Linked DNA regions of Stegostoma tigrinum. Each later gene encodes a partner of the first gene's protein in a complex. Links are inferred from orthologs where the notes say so. Each region holds a gene or a part of one and is shown in the gene's direction. Other genes may lie near its edges.

Evidence for each region. The genes of interacting proteins can lie anywhere in the genome.
Region 2: polr3d (region 1) and polr3f share a complex: the UniProt entries of both Homo sapiens proteins name them as parts of the RNA polymerase III complex. The link is inferred for Stegostoma tigrinum from reciprocal best matches to the Homo sapiens genes POLR3D and POLR3F.

What each region holds. Positions count from the first base shown.
Region 1 is NC_081393.1:16,508,734-16,517,094, reverse strand, and holds the start of polr3d (DNA-directed RNA polymerase III subunit RPC4), read left to right. Parts: upstream 1-4,905; 5' UTR 4,906-5,124; intron 5,125-8,035; 5' UTR 8,036-8,049; coding exon 8,050-8,214; intron 8,215-8,361. UniProt on the Homo sapiens protein: DNA-dependent RNA polymerase catalyzes the transcription of DNA into RNA using the four ribonucleoside triphosphates as substrates.
Region 2 is NC_081362.1:22,718,450-22,725,997, forward strand, and holds the start of polr3f (DNA-directed RNA polymerase III subunit RPC6), read left to right. Parts: upstream 1-4,450; 5' UTR 4,451-4,865; coding exon 4,866-4,921; intron 4,922-7,548. UniProt on the Homo sapiens protein: DNA-dependent RNA polymerase catalyzes the transcription of DNA into RNA using the four ribonucleoside triphosphates as substrates.

The sequences.
Region 1 (8,361 bases):
CACTGCACTATCAGATGAATGTCTCATATATCAGATAAGACATTTGGACTGAGGCCTGAGCTGTTCGGTGCCCTCCTCGGGGGATGTGAATGATCCGAAGCCACTAATTCTAATAATAGGCCAGTTATCCCTGTGACCTGACCATGTTTATCCTGCAGCAGACATCACAAAAGAGATTGATGTTCATCAACACATCTCTGTTTGTGAAAGTTTGCTGTGTGAAAATAGGCTGATGCGATTTGTATATTGCAACTGAGGTTACCTTTCAAAAAGTATCTCGTTGGTCCTTTAGGACATTCTGCAATTGTGAAAGATGCTGTAAAAGTTCAAATGATTTTTAAAAATTAATTAGCTTCTTGTTCTTTATAGTACTTTATAGTTCTTTAATTGACTTGTTTCTTCCATCCATAGTAATGAAGATATGTTTGCGAGTTTTCAATTTTAAGTGTATGGCAGTGGCAGCAGCCACAATATTGTTACAGTGTACTAAATTGGAGTCACGTACCAAGTAGCTGCTAAACTGGGAATGTGTGCTGAATAAGTCTTACACAAGAAGCTAAAGGGGTTGTGAGAAAACAGGAACGTAGGAACAGGAGTAGGCCATTCAGCCCCTCAATCCTGTCCACCATTTAATGAGCTCATGGTGATCTGTGGCCTAACTCCATGAACCTACCTTTGACCCATATCCTTTAATGCCTTTGCTTAAGCAAAATTCATATAAGAATTAAAATTAATAATTGATCCTGTATCCACTGCCACTTGAAAAGAGTTGAAAACATCTACACCTTTTGAGTGTAGTAGTACTTCCTAACATCACTCCTACATTTAGCCCTAATTCCCAGGCCATGCCCCCTAGGTCTAGAATCCCCAACCAGTGGAAATAGTTTATCTTTATCTACCCTTTCTTTTCTTTGTATTATCTTGAAGCCTTTGATCAGGTCATCCCTTAATCTTCTGAATTCAACAGAAAACAGGCCTAATTTGTATAATGTCTCTTCATAACTTAACTCTGAAGACCAGGTATCATTCTTGTAAATCTACATTTTACCCCCTTTCAGGTTAATATATTCTTTCTCAGATGCCCACAGCAGGTCTTACCAGAGTTTTGTACATCCATAGCAAAACTTCTGCATCCTTGAACTCCAGTCCTCTAGATATAAAGGCCAGGATTCCATTAGGTTCCTTGATTATTTTCTGTGCCTGCTCATGACATTTTAAAGATGTTTGCAACTGAACCCCAAGTCTCTTTGGACAAACACTGTATTTAAGCATCCAGAAAGTACCCTGATTTGTCCTTGTCCAGACCAGAATTACCTTAGTTACCTCTGCAATTTCCCCAACACAGATGTTAGGCTAACTGGTCTGTAATTCCTTGGTTTTTGTCTTTTGCCCTTCTTAAAAAGCAGTGTGACATATTCAACTTTCCAATCCAGAGGGATGAGTCCTGTATCTAGAGAACTCTGAAAGATTATAGTTAGGACATCTACAATGGACTCTCCTATCTGCTTTAACACCCTTAGATAGAAACCGTCAGGTCCTGGGAGTTTATAAGTCTTTAATTCCATTAATTTCCTCAATGATTTACATACATTAATTTTATTCAGTCCCTGTTCCCAATCCACATTTAATTTTCTCAGACTTATGGCAAGCTGTTCTCTTTTTTAATCATAAAAACTCAGGTAAAGCAATTGTTCAACATGTCTGCCAATTCCTAGTGGTCATTGACAATATTCCCACTTTCGGTGAGGTTGCAGGCTTGCTCTCCAAGCCAGCATGTTTGATTGCAGATGTTTCGTCACTCTGCTAGGGGACAATGTCAGTGCGCTGACAGTGAAGCGTTGGTGTTCTGACCCATTTGTTATTTATATGCTTTGGTTTAGTAGGGTGGTGGTATGACTTCCAGTTTTGTTCTTCATTGGTTTGTATATCGGGTCCAGTTCACTGTGTTTGTTGACGGAGTTCCGGTTGGATTGCCAGGCCTCTAGGAATTCCCTGGCATGTCTCTACTTGGTTCGTGCTATTATGGATGTGTTGTCCCTGTCGAATCTGTGCCCTTCTTTTTCCATGTGCATTGAGACCAGTGAGAATTGGTCATGTCTCTTGGTGGCTACTTGGCATTCATGTATTCTTATTGCCAGTTTTCTTCCAATTTGGCCTATGTAATGTTTCTCACACATGGTATTTTGTATATTACATTTGTTGTATTGTTTGTGGGAATGGGGTCCTTTACATTCGTCAGTTGCTGTTGCAGGGTGGTTATTGGGTTGTGATCTACCCTGATACTTAGGGGCCTGAGTTGTCTTGTGGTCATCACTGATATGTTCCTAATGTATGGTTGGGTGACTAGTGTGTCTGGCCGTGTTGTGTCTTTCTGTTGTGGCCTGTCAGAGATAATGCCGCAATGTGCTATTCGAGTATGTACAATCCGAGCTACAAATCTCAAAAACCTTCCCACTTTCAGTCTTTAGTGGGTCAAAATTGTTGCCGACTACCCAATTTCCCTTTATGTAACTATAATGTTTCCTCTTTTTGATTTTGATATCCCTGGCAAGTTTTCTTTCACAGTTCCTTTTACTTGCTTGTATAAGTTGCTTTGTGGTCTTTTGCTGATCTTTGTATCTTTCCCATTCACCGGGATCTATGTTTCTTTTTGCATTTTTGTAAGCTCTTGATTTCAGTTTTATGTCTCTTGACCACTTTTATGTGAAGTGGAGCTTTTCCTCTTTGAGACATAGAGTCCGATAGCATGGAGACAGGCCCTTCGGCCCAAACTGGTCCATGCCAACCAAAATGTCCTACCACACTAACCCCATTTCCCTGCACTTGCCTCTGTCCTTCCAAACCTTTCCTATCCATGTATTCATCCAAATGCCTTTAAATGTTGTTAATGTACCCGCCTCAACCATTTCCCCTGGCAACTCATTCCATATGCGTACCATACTCTGTGTAAAAATATTGCTCCTCAGGTTCCCATGTATTCTTGCCCCCTTGCCTGAAACTGGTGCCATCTTGTCCTTAATTCCCCAAATTAGGGAAAAAGACTGATTGCATTCACCCCATCAATGCCTCTCATGATCTTATAGACTTATATAAGTTAGCCCCTCAGTCTTCTACGCTCTAATGTAAACAGTCCTAGCTTGTCCAGCCTCTGCCTATAACTCAGTCCTATAGCTGAGTCCTGTCAATATCCTTGTAAATTTCTTCTGCAATCTTTCCAGTTTAATAACATCCTTACTATAACAAGGTGATCAAAACTGAACACAATATTTCAAGTGCAGCCTCATCAACATCCTGTACAACTGCAACATAACTTCCCAACATCTATACTCAGTGCCCTCACTGATGAAGGCCAGTGTTCCAAAAGCCTTTCTCACTGCCCTGTCTACCTGTGACTCCACTTTCAGAGAACCGTGCACCTGAACTCCCAAGTCCCTCTGTTCCACTACACTCCATTCACCATGAAACTCCGGCATTGACGTTCCAAAATGCAACACCTCACACTTATCTGTTTTAAATTCCATTTGCCATTTCTGAGCCCAGTTCCCCAGCTGATCAAAATCCTGCTGTAATTTCTGATAACTTTCCTCACTGTCCACGATATCTTCGTGTCATCCCCAAACTTACTATTCTCAATCAAATCATTGATACAGATAACAAATAGCAATGGTCCCAGCACTGGCCCCTGAGGCACACCACTAGCCACCAGTCCGACAAGCATCCTTTCACTATTACTCTCTCTAGTTCTTATCAACAAGCTGACTGTGTATCCAATTTGCCAGATCTCCCTGGGTTCCATGCAACCTAATCTTCCAGAGCAGACGGTATAAACTGATTTTGTATTAAATGTTTCTTTAAACATCCTCCACTGCTCTTTAGTTGTTTTACTCGTGAGCAGATTTGCCTAGTTTACTGTGGATAGTCTCTGTGTCATGTCATTCAAGTCAGTCTTACCTAAATGTAAAACTCTTCATGCTGCTCATAAAGCTGCCTCTGTTTTATGCTTTCAAATGCTGCATCGAATTCAATCATGTTATGATCAGTATTTGATAAACGGTTGTGCACAATTAGGTAACTAACTAAATCTGATTCATTACTCATGAATAAATCAAATTTTGTTTGTCCCCTTGTTGCATTCAGAACCAAATGCTGTAGGAAACTGTCCCAGATGCACTCTGGAAATTCACTACCTGTGTGACGGTGCTTGTCTGCCTCTCCCAATCAATATTAAAGTTAAACTTCCCCCATTAATGCTATTCTGGATTAGCGGACCCTTGCCTTAATTTATGCTGAAATTTCGCAGTTGTGGCAGTATCTGAGGGGAGAGTCATCGAATCCCTACATTGATGAAGTAGGCCATTTGGCCCATCGAGTCCACATTGATCCTCCCACCCAGACACACCACCCTACCCTGTCGTAGCAAGCCTGTACTTCCAATGCCTGATCCACCTAGCCTGCACATCCCTGGGCACTACGGACAAATTAGTCACTGGACTCGACACGTTAACTCAACTTGTTCCCCACTTTTTAAAAAATCAGATCTCCAGCGTCCGCAGTCCTTTGTTTTAATTTTAGTGCCTAATTTCTGTATTTATAAAATCAAGCTGCTCTAGGGGTTCTGTACACATTTACTACTGATGCATTACATGAAAATGGCATCAGATCAGTGGAATGCTGACAGCTGAGCCCCAAAACAAAACTGTTGACGCACTTCCAATGGATGCTACATATTTTTACCCAGTAATACTCCCTATTGTCACTCGCTTTCCGTTGGAGCTCCTTTGCAACAAGATCAATGCAGAGCTACAATTTTCATTCAGTTTCTTCACTTTCCCACCGAACGAACCGGCAACATTGCCTTCAGCGCCGCCCCGCTGCCAGGCGCCATCTTGTTGCGGGGCAAAATGCCGGCCACCTGACCCCCTAGGGCGCAGGCGGAGAGCTGGATTTGCCCCGTACAAACATGGCGGCTCACAGCGGCCTCGCTCGGACGTGAAACGGCTGGAGGACCGAGACGGGAAAAAGAAACAAGAGTAAAGAGGCGGTAATCGGCCTTTGGGGAGAACTCGAGAGCAGTGTGGGCTCGCGGCCGTGCTGCCAGGTTCGAGGATTACAGGCCTTCATCAGGTAACAAAGTGAGAAGCTGGATGAGCACAGGAGGCCAAGCAGCATCTCAGGAGCAGGAAGGCTGACGTTTCGGGCCTAGACCCTTCATCAGATAATTGCTGCCCAGTGATCCAGGAAGCTGTAAGGCCTGAGAGTGCCTAAGGGTAGGGGACGAGGGGTAGGAGCTGGGAAAATGGGAGAGGGGCAAGGTTGGGGAGGGGAAGAACGGGGGAAGAGGAGGAGCGGGGAAAGGAGAAAGGGAGGAGGGGGGTGAGGTGAGGACAGGGAAGAGGGAGGAGCTGGGGGGGCGAGGTTGGGAAGTGGGGGGTGGCGAGGTTGGGAAGTCGGAGGAGAGGGGGAGGGGCAACTGGGGAGAACGGGGAAGTGGGAGGAGCTGGGGAAGTGGGGGGGTAAGGTTGGGGAGGGGAGGAGGTGGGGAAGGGGGCAAATGGGGGAAGAAAGAGGAGCTGGGGAAGTGGGAGGGGGCAAGCGGGGGAAAGAGGGAGGGGCTGGGGAAGTGGGGGGGGCAAGCGGGGGAAAGAGGGTGGGGCTGGGGAAGTGGGGGGGGCAAGCGGGGGAAAGAGGGAGGGGCTGGGGAAGTAGGGGGGGCAAGCGGGGGAAAGAGGGAGGGGCTGGGGAAGTGGGGGGGGCAAGCGGGGGAAAGAGGGAGGGGCTGGGGAAGTGGGAGGGGGCAAGCGGGGGAAAGAGGGAGGGGCTGGGGAAGAGGGAGGGGCTGGGGAAGTGGGTGGGGGCAAGCGGGGGGAAGAGGGAGGGGCTGGGGAAGTGGGTGGGGGCAAGCGGGGGGAAGAGGGAGGAGCTGGGGAAGTGGGAGGGGGCAAGCGGGGGGAAGAGGGAGGGGCTGGGGAAGTGGGTGGGGGCAAGTGGGGGGAAGAGGGAGGAGCTGGGTAAGTGGGAGGGGGCAAGCGGGGGGGAAGAGGGAGGAGCTGGGTAAGTGGGAGGGGGCAAGCGGGGGAAGAGGGAGGAGCTGGGTAAGTGGGAGGGGGGAAGTGGGAGGGGGCAAGTGGGGGAAGAGGGAGGAGCGGGGAAGTGGGAGGAAGTGGGAGGGGGCAAGCGGGGGGAAGAGGGAGGAGCTGGGTAAGTGGGAGGGGGGAAGTGGGAGGGGGCAAGTGGGGGAAGAGGGAGGAGCGGGGAAGTGGGAGGGGGCAAGCGGGGGGAAGAGGGAGGAGCTGGGGAAGTGGGAGGGGGCAAGTGGGAGGGGGCAAGTGGGGGGAAGAGGGAGGAGCGGGGAAGTGGGAGGGGGCAAGCGGGGGGAAGAGGGAGGAGCGGGGCAAGCGGGGGGAAGAGGGAGGAGCTGGGTAAGTGGGAGGAGGCAAGCAGGGGGAAGAGGGAGGAGCTGGGGAAGTGGGAGGAGGCAAGCAGGGGTAAGAGGGAGGAGCTGGGGAAGTGGGAGGGGGCAAGTGGGGGAAGAGGGAGGAGCTGGGGAAGTGGGAGGGGGCAAGTGGGGGGAAGAGGGAGGAGCTGGGGAAGTGGGAGGGGGCAAGTGGGGGGAAGAGGGAGGGGCTGGGCAAGTGGGAGGGGGCAAGCGGGGGGCAGAGGAGGAGGGGGGTGAGGGGAAAGGGGCAAGCGGGGAGAACGGAGAAAGAGGGAGGAGCTGGGGAAGTGGGAGGGGGGTAAGGTTGGGAAGGGGGCAAGGGGTAGGATGGGGGAAGAGGGAGGTGCTGGGGAAGGGGGAGGTGGGTAAGGATGGGAAGGGGGAGGGGGAGGGGGAAAGGTTGGCAAGGGGCAGGTGGGAGGGGATATTGGCAGGGCAGTGGAGATGCAGGGAGGGGGATTGGCTGGAGGGGAGCTGGGGAGCAAGGAGAGATGGGGGACTGTGGGAGGGCGGAAGGGAAGAGGAGGTGGGGGAAGGGGGAGACAGGGAAGGAAGGACGGATTGGGGAGGGAAAGGAAGGGGTTTAGGAAGGAGTAGTGAGAGGAGAGAAAGCAGCTGGGGAAGAGGTGGGGAAGGGAAGTTAAGGGGAGCTATAGGATGTTGGGTGGAAAGGAGGAGGGAGGGGACAGTTGTTAGGAGTGTTGGGGGATGGCGGAAATTGGGATGGGGAAGACCATTTGGAGGGGCTGGGGAGTTGAAGCTTCACAAAGACTGGTCTTATCACGAAATCCTCTTTGATGTTGGAAAGCATCCAGCTACGCAAAACATTTACATCCGAGCCTAATTTTACCTCCCTCCCCTTTTAGTTCTGCCAAGGTCGTCCCTAGTTTTTGATTGTGGTTGGGGTGTAAATCCAGTCGGATGCTTTGTCTTAGACGGGTTCAGTTTCTCGAGTGTTGTGTATAAATGTTTACCCCAAGTGTCTCAAAATATTGAATCAAGTAAACAAAACAAAAGTTGTTTGGAGCTGTGTACTGTAAGATTCAGTGAGACAGCACAACTGAAAGACTGGCTGAAGCTACATGGCAGCTATTGCCTTGCTGTTGGAAGCTGGAGTCTCAGCAGATGTAAGAAAAAGGCAATCCCCTGAATATGTCGATTGAAAATATTTGCCTCAGAATGGCAGCACCACAGTCTGCTTCTTGTAGCACTCTGTTCCTGGCTGCTTGCGTTACATCACTTTGTGCTTCTGCAAAGAGTTGGCATCGATTTGATGGGCCAAATGCAGTGTTTCTGTGAGCCACTCTGTATTCCACAGTGGCTTTTGATCTGCTGTTTTATGATGTCCATGGCAGAAGCTTGATCCTGGCTGTATTCATCACAGCAGCATTTTGGTTCTTTGACCAGCTTGGAGCAACCTCTGCAGAGGTTGCCAAATTTGTGATAATACATATGCCCACGGTTATGGTAAAGCTTGGAGATTCTCCTGTACAGGTATGCCCTCAGATGAGGTTCTAAGGCTCTGGTTTTGTGAGATCTCCTCTGTTCCCCAACTGGCACAGTTTTTGCCGCGGTACTAATTTGTTCTTTGTCGTGCAGATTGCGAAGCAGCGATGTCTGAGCAAGGCCCCAGTGGAGGTGCTGGCCATCCCAGCACCATCAGGCCCGCTGTAACAGTAGCTAGGGGCCTGCCAGGTCGACGGAGCTCTGCCACCGTTACCCCAGGCCGCCTGCCCTCCATCCGCTCACGGGACCTAACACTGGGAGGGATGAAAAAGGTCAGTACCATTTGGAGATTTTCAGAATCTGGACAAAGTAGATGGGGTGGGAGGGGTGCGGCGAGGGCCGTGTGTGCGAAACAGTTCCCATTGTTGGTAGGTTAGGAATTGAAGTGCTCAGATGCAAGAGAAGTGGCAAAACCAGCC
Region 2 (7,548 bases), on another chromosome or scaffold:
GCATGTACAGAATGCGGGTTACTACCAGTGGAATGGCAGTATATTGGAAAGCCAACATGAACATAATAGGTTGAATGGCTTTCTCCGATGCTGTAATGATTTTATCATACAAGTCACTTGTTACATTTATCATTGATATCTGCTTCAATCATCGCATTTAGAATTTACATTCTCAGCATTTTCTGTGTAAAGGAAATCTTCTGAATACTTTATTTTACCTGTTATTGGCTATCGTATATTTTTGCCCCCTCGCTGTGTACTCACACACAAGTGGAAACAGTTTCCCCCATCTGCCCTATTGAGCCGTTTTACAATTTTAAGACCTCTCCTCGGTCTACTCAGCCCTTTATTTCTAAAATCATTGTACCTGTCTATACCAATCACTAGATCATTTTTTCTAATATCAACATCTGGTTAATTCTGTAAATCCGATCACCCCAGTGTTTTTTTTTCTGCATTTATTCAGTACTTCACTATCCCTCCTGCAATGTGAAGACCAAAATTTGGATGGAGTACTCCAACTATGCAAGCAAAGTTCAATAAAAATGTAATAATACCTGTTGATTGTTGTTTTATTCTTTCCATAATGGACCCATGTGTTTTCTTTGCACACTTTATAGTCTTGAGAAGTTTTGTTGGTAATAACCTTCTTCAGGCTGTCTACATCTGAAGATCTGGAATTCCCTCACTAAAGCTGTATCAAACCATTTTTTTCCCTTATTCATTTGTGGGATTTGGGCATCTCTGGCTCGCCAGCATTTCTTGCCCATTCCTACTTGCCCTGGAGAAGGTGGTGATGAGCTGCCTTCTTGAATGACTGCGGTCCACCTGCTGTGGGTTGACCCACAATGCTATTAGGGAGGGAATTCCAGGATTTTTGACCCAGCAACAGTCACGGAGCGGCAATATATTTCCAAGTCAGGATGGTGAGTGGCTTGGAGGTTGTAGTCTTCCCATATGGCTGATCCCCTTGTCCTTCTAGTTGGAAGTAGTTGTCAGTTTGGAAGGTGCAGTCTGAGGATCTTTGGTGAATTTCTGCAGTGCAAGTTGTCGGTAGTACACACTGCTGCTACTGAGCATCAGTGGTGGGGGAGTGGATACTTGTGGATGTAGTGCTAATCAAGTGGGCTGCTTTGTCCTGGATGGTGTCAAGCTTCTTGAGAGTTGTTAGGGCTGCACTCATCCAGGCAAGTGGGGAGTATTCCATCACACTCCTGACTTGTGCCTTGTAGATGGTGGACAGGCTTTGAGGAGTCAGATGAGTTACTCACCTTGATTGACCTCCAGCAACCATGACCATCTTTCTATGTGTCAGGTATGAATCCAACCACTAGAGAGTTTGCCCCTTGACACCCATTGATTCCAAGTTTGCTATGGCTCCTTGATGCCACACTCAGTTGAATGCAGTCTTGATATCAAGGGCTGACACTCTCACCTTACCTCTGGAATTCAGCTGTTTTGCTCATATTTGAACAAACAAGGGTTCCCAAGCAGAATATGAGTCGCTGTTCCTGTAACCTTTGGGTAGCATTGTTGTGGTACTGCAGGAGGTCCAGGATGGACATGTCGTCCGAGAAATGGAACTGGGAGTTGAAATGGTTTGCAACTGGGAGGTGCAGTTGTTTAGTGCGAACCGAGAATTCTTCGTAGGTTATGTGGAACAATCCCTCTTACCTACCTATACTGACCCTAAACCCCACCTCTTCCTCCGTTACATTGATCATTGTATCGGCGCTGCTTCATGCTCCCACAAGGAGCTTGAATAGTTCATACACTTCACCAACACCTTCCACCCCAAACTTAAGTTCACCTGGACCATCTCCAATACCCCTCTCTCCTTCCTGGACCTCTCTGTTTCCATCTCTGGCAACCACCTAGAAACCAAGATCCATTTCAAACCTACCGACTCTCACAGCTACCTAGAATACACCTCCCCCCACCCATCTTCCTGCAAAAATGCCATTCCCTATTCCCAATTCCTTCATCTCCACCGCATCTGCTCCCAGGATGAGGCATTCCACTCCCGTACATCTCAGATGTCCTCATTTTTCAAGCACCGCAACTTCCCCCAATCAGTGGTCGAGAACACCCTCGATCGTGTCAGCCGCAACTCATCCCTCACACCCCCTCTCAACAATAACAACCAAACCAGAATCCCCCTCGTCCTCACATACCACCCCACCAACCTCCAGATCCAACCCATCAGCGTCCAACACTTCCGCCATCTGCAATCCGACCCCACCACTCCACATTTTTCCCTTCCCACCCTTATCTGCTTTCTGGAGGGACCACTCTCTCTGTGTCTCCCTTGTCCACTCCACACTGCCCTCCGGCACCACCACACCCAGCACTTTTCCCTACAACTGCAGGAAGCGCTACACGTGACCTTACATCTCCTCACTCACCCCCATCCCAGGCCCCAAGAAGACTTTCCACATCAACAGATGTTTACCTGCACATCTGCTAATGTGGTATACTGCATCCGCTGTTCCCGTTATGGCCTCTTCTGCATTGGGGAAACCAAGCGGAGGCTTGGGGGGGGGGCTGCTTTGCAGAACACCTATGCTCGGTTTGCACTAAACAATTGCACCTCCCAGTCGCGAACCATTTCAACTCCCCCTCCCATTCCTCAGACAACATGTCCACCTCGGGCCTCCTGCAGTGCCACAATGATGCCACCTGAAGGTTGCAGGAATAGCAACACATATTCCGCTTGGGAACCCCGCAGCTCAATGGTATCAATGTGGACTTCACAAGCTTCAAAATTTCCCCTCTCCTTACATTCCACAGTCAGCCCCGCTCGTCTCCAACTCCCTAACCTGTCCTTCCTCCCACCTATCCCCTCCTTCCACCTCAAGCCCCTCCCCCAACTCCTACCTACTAACTTCATCCCACGCCCTTGACCTGTCCGTCTTCCCTGGACTGACCTATCTCCTCCCCACCTACACTCATTTCTACTGGCTCCATCTCTGCCTCTTTGACCTGCCTGTCTCCTCTCCACCTATCTTCTCATCTCTCCATCCTCTACCCCCCCCCCCTCCCCTCTCTCCCTATTTATTTCAGAGCCCCCTTCCCCTCCCTGACTTCTGAAGAAGGGTCTAGGCTTGAAACATGAGCCTTCCTGCTCAGTCTGCTGTGTTCATCCAGTTCTACACCTTGTTGTCACTGAGCAGGTGCTGCTTGATAGTACTGTTGATGACACCTTTCATCACTTTACTGATGACTGAGAATAGACTGATGGAGTAGTAGTTGGCTGGGTTGGGTTTGTCCTGTTTTTGTGTACAGGACATTTGTGGACAATTTTCCACACTTTTGGTTAGAGGCCAATGTTGTAACAATACTGGAACAGCTTGGCTTAGGGGAGTAACAAGTTCTGGACCATGAGTCTTCAGTACTATTGCCAGAACGTTGTCAGGGCCTCTAGCCTTTGCAGTATCCAGTGTATCTTAATGCTTAATTTTTTTGACAAATATTTAGATTACCAGTGATTGATTTATTTGTATTCCCCAAAAAAACTTTGTTCCTTGTCCCATCTTTTTAATGTGAGAATTTGAATCTGAAATGCATTAACTTGAAGGGGTGGTGGAATTGGATTTTGGACTAACTTCCAAATGGAACTTGTATAAATAATAATACAAAATGTAGGTGCTCTGCATAAATAGCTTCAGGTGAGGAGAAGATGCATGATTAAAAACTAAAAGAGCCAAAAGGTTGCTGGGTTATGGTACTCCAGTTGGTTTCAAGTAAACGGCTGTCTTCACAGTTATTGGTGGCGTGAAGTTGCTGCAATTCCGTAATAAAAACTGAAGTCACCACATAAAGATAAGTTTAGTGATCAGTCTCTCAACACTTTAATCCGGTAAGTGTTAAATTGATGGGAGTAACTGTGTGGCTCAGCGAATTATTTACAAGCATTTTATTTTTACTTTGTTTGCTCTTGCTCTTAACCCGAAATTTCTCCTTCTCTTCCTCACCCCCGCCTTTTTCTTGTGCGCCTAATGTGAAATTAAACTTCAGTCACATTACACTTATTCTTCCTCACTCTTGCTCCCGTTATTAAATTGCCTTAAATCTAACTAGTGAATGAGATCCAGTTTTGTTTACAAAAACAGGTTGCTGGAAAAGCTCAGCATATCTGGCAGCCTCTGAAGAAAAATTTAGAGTTAACGTTTCGGGTCTACTGACCAGTTTCTTTTGTTTAACCTTGCTGCACCATTAATATATCCTACATAAAGCGACTTGCCATGCAAAACAAAGCTAAATCGTAAACTAAATTAATGTATTTTTAATGCATCCTTTTTCCGCTCCCAGGTTACTCCCGGAGGGATGGTAAACGTGTTGTCACGTGATTGTGTTTCAAAGGGCGAACAGAGTCCGCAAAAGCGCCAAACCCTGGTTAGGCCCCAGCTCAAATTAAACAGCTGCTTCTCAGATTGCCGGAGAGGAAGAAAAGTCGAGCTGGGGAAGGCTATCTATTGAACTAAACGTGTGCCTCTTTGGTCTTTCACTATTTTCAGAACTGTCTTGTAAGATACGGCAGCAGAAAAAAAAAACTGCTTGTAATTAACGACGGGAAGCGAGGAGTGTAGACTGGCAAATGAATCTCTTGCCCAATAAGAGATTGAGACTGCAGAATGAAAGGTCCCCTAGTTCAAGAGGCTGAAGTAATTTGCTGCTGTAGATCGTTTACCCCGGAGCTGGAGGGTGAGCGTGCAATTTGGAACATTCACGCTGAGGTTTGATACAACGTTGAAACGCAAGAATTGCAATATCGGACCGAGGGGGCCAGTCAGCACCGCTACAGACCAGATCCGCAAACAAACCCTTCAGCCACCAATATATTGTCATGCTGTACAACTGAAATCATGGCTGACGTGACAGTGAAGCAAGAAGCAGTAGATTCTGTGGGACTGGAAAGCAGGTAGTTTTTGTGTGGTTGGCTACGATGACAAGGTCGGGGCCGTTTTCGCGTTGTAAAAATTCTGAGTGAAGAAAGGTCGTCACTGATGCTATGAAAATTTCCATGCTTTTAAGACTTCGAGCAATGAGAGTATTTAACCTCTGTCTTCGCCGCATCTCCTAGCCGTGTTGTTTGTCTTGCTTACGTTGCACTTAGTAGAAAGGGTCAGTTCGCTGCTTTTCACATCTCAATTCACATTTTGATTTAAGATAACTAAGTGTGAAGCTGGATGAACACAGCAGGCCAAGCAGCATTTCAGGAGCACAAAAGCTGACATTTTGATTTGATTAGATTAGATTACCTACAGTATGGAAACAGGGCCTTCGGCCCAACAAGTCCACACCGCCCCTTGAAGCATCCCACACACCCCTGAACACTACGGGCAATTTAGCAAGGCCAATCCACCTAACCTGCACATCTTTGGACAGTAGGAGGAAGTCCACGCAGACACGGGGAGAATGTGCAAACTCCACACAGTTGTCCGAGGCTGGAATCGAACCCGGGTTCCTGGTGCTGTGAGGCTGCAGTGCTAACCACTAAGCCACCATACAACCCTTGCATCTTTTCCACTATTAACAACCCTCTTGTATTTTGCTTTGGGCCTCCATACAATCTTCGCTCTTGCTCATCGACTGTCTTTTGTCAAAAAGTATTTTTTTAAAAAAAACATTTCCAGTTTTCAGTTCTGATGAAGGCATACCTGACTCAAAATGTTGTCTCGCTCTCTCCACAGATGCTAAACTTCTCCATGTTGCACCTTTTTGAATGTAATGGAATAACCTTAAGCACTTCACAGACATTATAGAGCAAAATATGATGGGGAGCCTCATGATCAAAAGCTCAGTGAGGGGTGTGGGAGTGGGAAATGATTGAGAGGCAGAGGCATAGAGATATACAGCGTGAAAACTGACCCTCTAGTCCAATTCATCCATGCTGACCAGATATCCTGAATAAATCTAGTCATATTTACCAGCGTTTGGCCCTAAATCCTTCCTACTCGTGTACCCATCCAGATGCTATTTAAATGTTGTAATTGTACCAGCCTCCATCACTTCCTCTGGCAGCTCATTCCATACACAAACCACACTACATGAAAATTTTGCCCCTTAGGTCTCTTTTTAAAAATCTCTCTGCTCTCAACTTAAACCTATGCTGTCTAACTTTAGACACATCCACCCAGGAATAAGACCTTGTCTCAGCCCACCACTGATGCCAGTCTCACTGGTCTACAATCCCGGGCTTTTCTTTGCCTCCTTTCTTAAATAGTGGCACAACATTAGCCAACTACCAGTCTTACGACACCTCACCTGTGGCTATTGATACAGTATCTCAGCAACGGTCCCAGCAATCTGTTGCCTTGCATCCCCCAGAGTTCTAGATTACACCTGATCAGGTCCTGGGGATTTATCTACATTTTGTGTTTGAGACATTCAACACTTCTTCCTCTGAAATATGGACATTTTTCAAGATGGTGCTATTTATCCCCCAAGTTCTCTAACTTCCATATTCTTCTCCACAATGAGCACTAATGCAAAATACTCATTTAGTTTCTGCTCCATCTCCTGTGGTCTCACGTGTAGGTAGCCCTGCTGATTTTTAAGTGGCTGTATTCTCTCCCTAGTTACCCTTCTGTCTTTAATGTAACTTTAGATTTCTTTTGGATTCTCATTAACTACATTTGCAAAAGCTATTTCACGTTCCTGTCTCTCTCTTTTTGCCGTCATGACTTCCCTCTTCAGTATATTCCTACTGTTGTTATACTCTCTTCTAGGGATTCACTCGATCTCTACTATGTATCCCTGATGTATGCTTCCTCCTTTTTCTTGATGGAAACCTCTAGTCATCCAGCATTCCCTATACCTATCAGCCTTGTCCTTCACCCTAACAGTAACATACTGTCTCTGGACTCTCATTATCTCAATTTTGAATGTTATCCATTTTCCAGCCATCCCTTTTCCTGCGAACATCTGACCCCATCAACTTTTGAAAGTTCTTGCCTAATACCATCAAAATTGCCCTAGCTCCATTTAAACTTTTAACTTTTAGATCCAGTCTATCCTTTTGCATCACTATTTTAATTATCATCACTTGCCCCAAAGTGTTCCCCCACTGACACCTCAGTCACCTGCGCTGCCTCATTTCCCAAGAGATGGTCAAGTTTTGCACCTTCTCTAGTAGGTACATCCTCATACTGAATAAGAAAATTTTCTTGTGCATACTTAACAAATTCCTCTTTATCCAAGCCTTTAACACTCTGGCAGTGCCAGTCCACTTTTGGAAAATTAAAATCCCCTACCATAACCACCCTATTATTCTTGCAGATAACTGACACCTCCGTACAAAGTTGTTCTTTTTTCAATTTCCTGCTGATTTACCGGGGACATCTATATTACGATCCCAATAAGGTTTGTCATTTCTTTTCTTTCTTCTCAGTTCCACCCAAATTACCCGTCTGGACATAAACACCAATACCCGTCCCCTCTTCCCACCACCACTCCCCACAGCAATCTCTCCTCCTTTTTTTTTTCCCCCCACACCCCCGCCCCATTCTTCCTATAGCATCGATGCTGTTAAAACAGCAAGCGGTT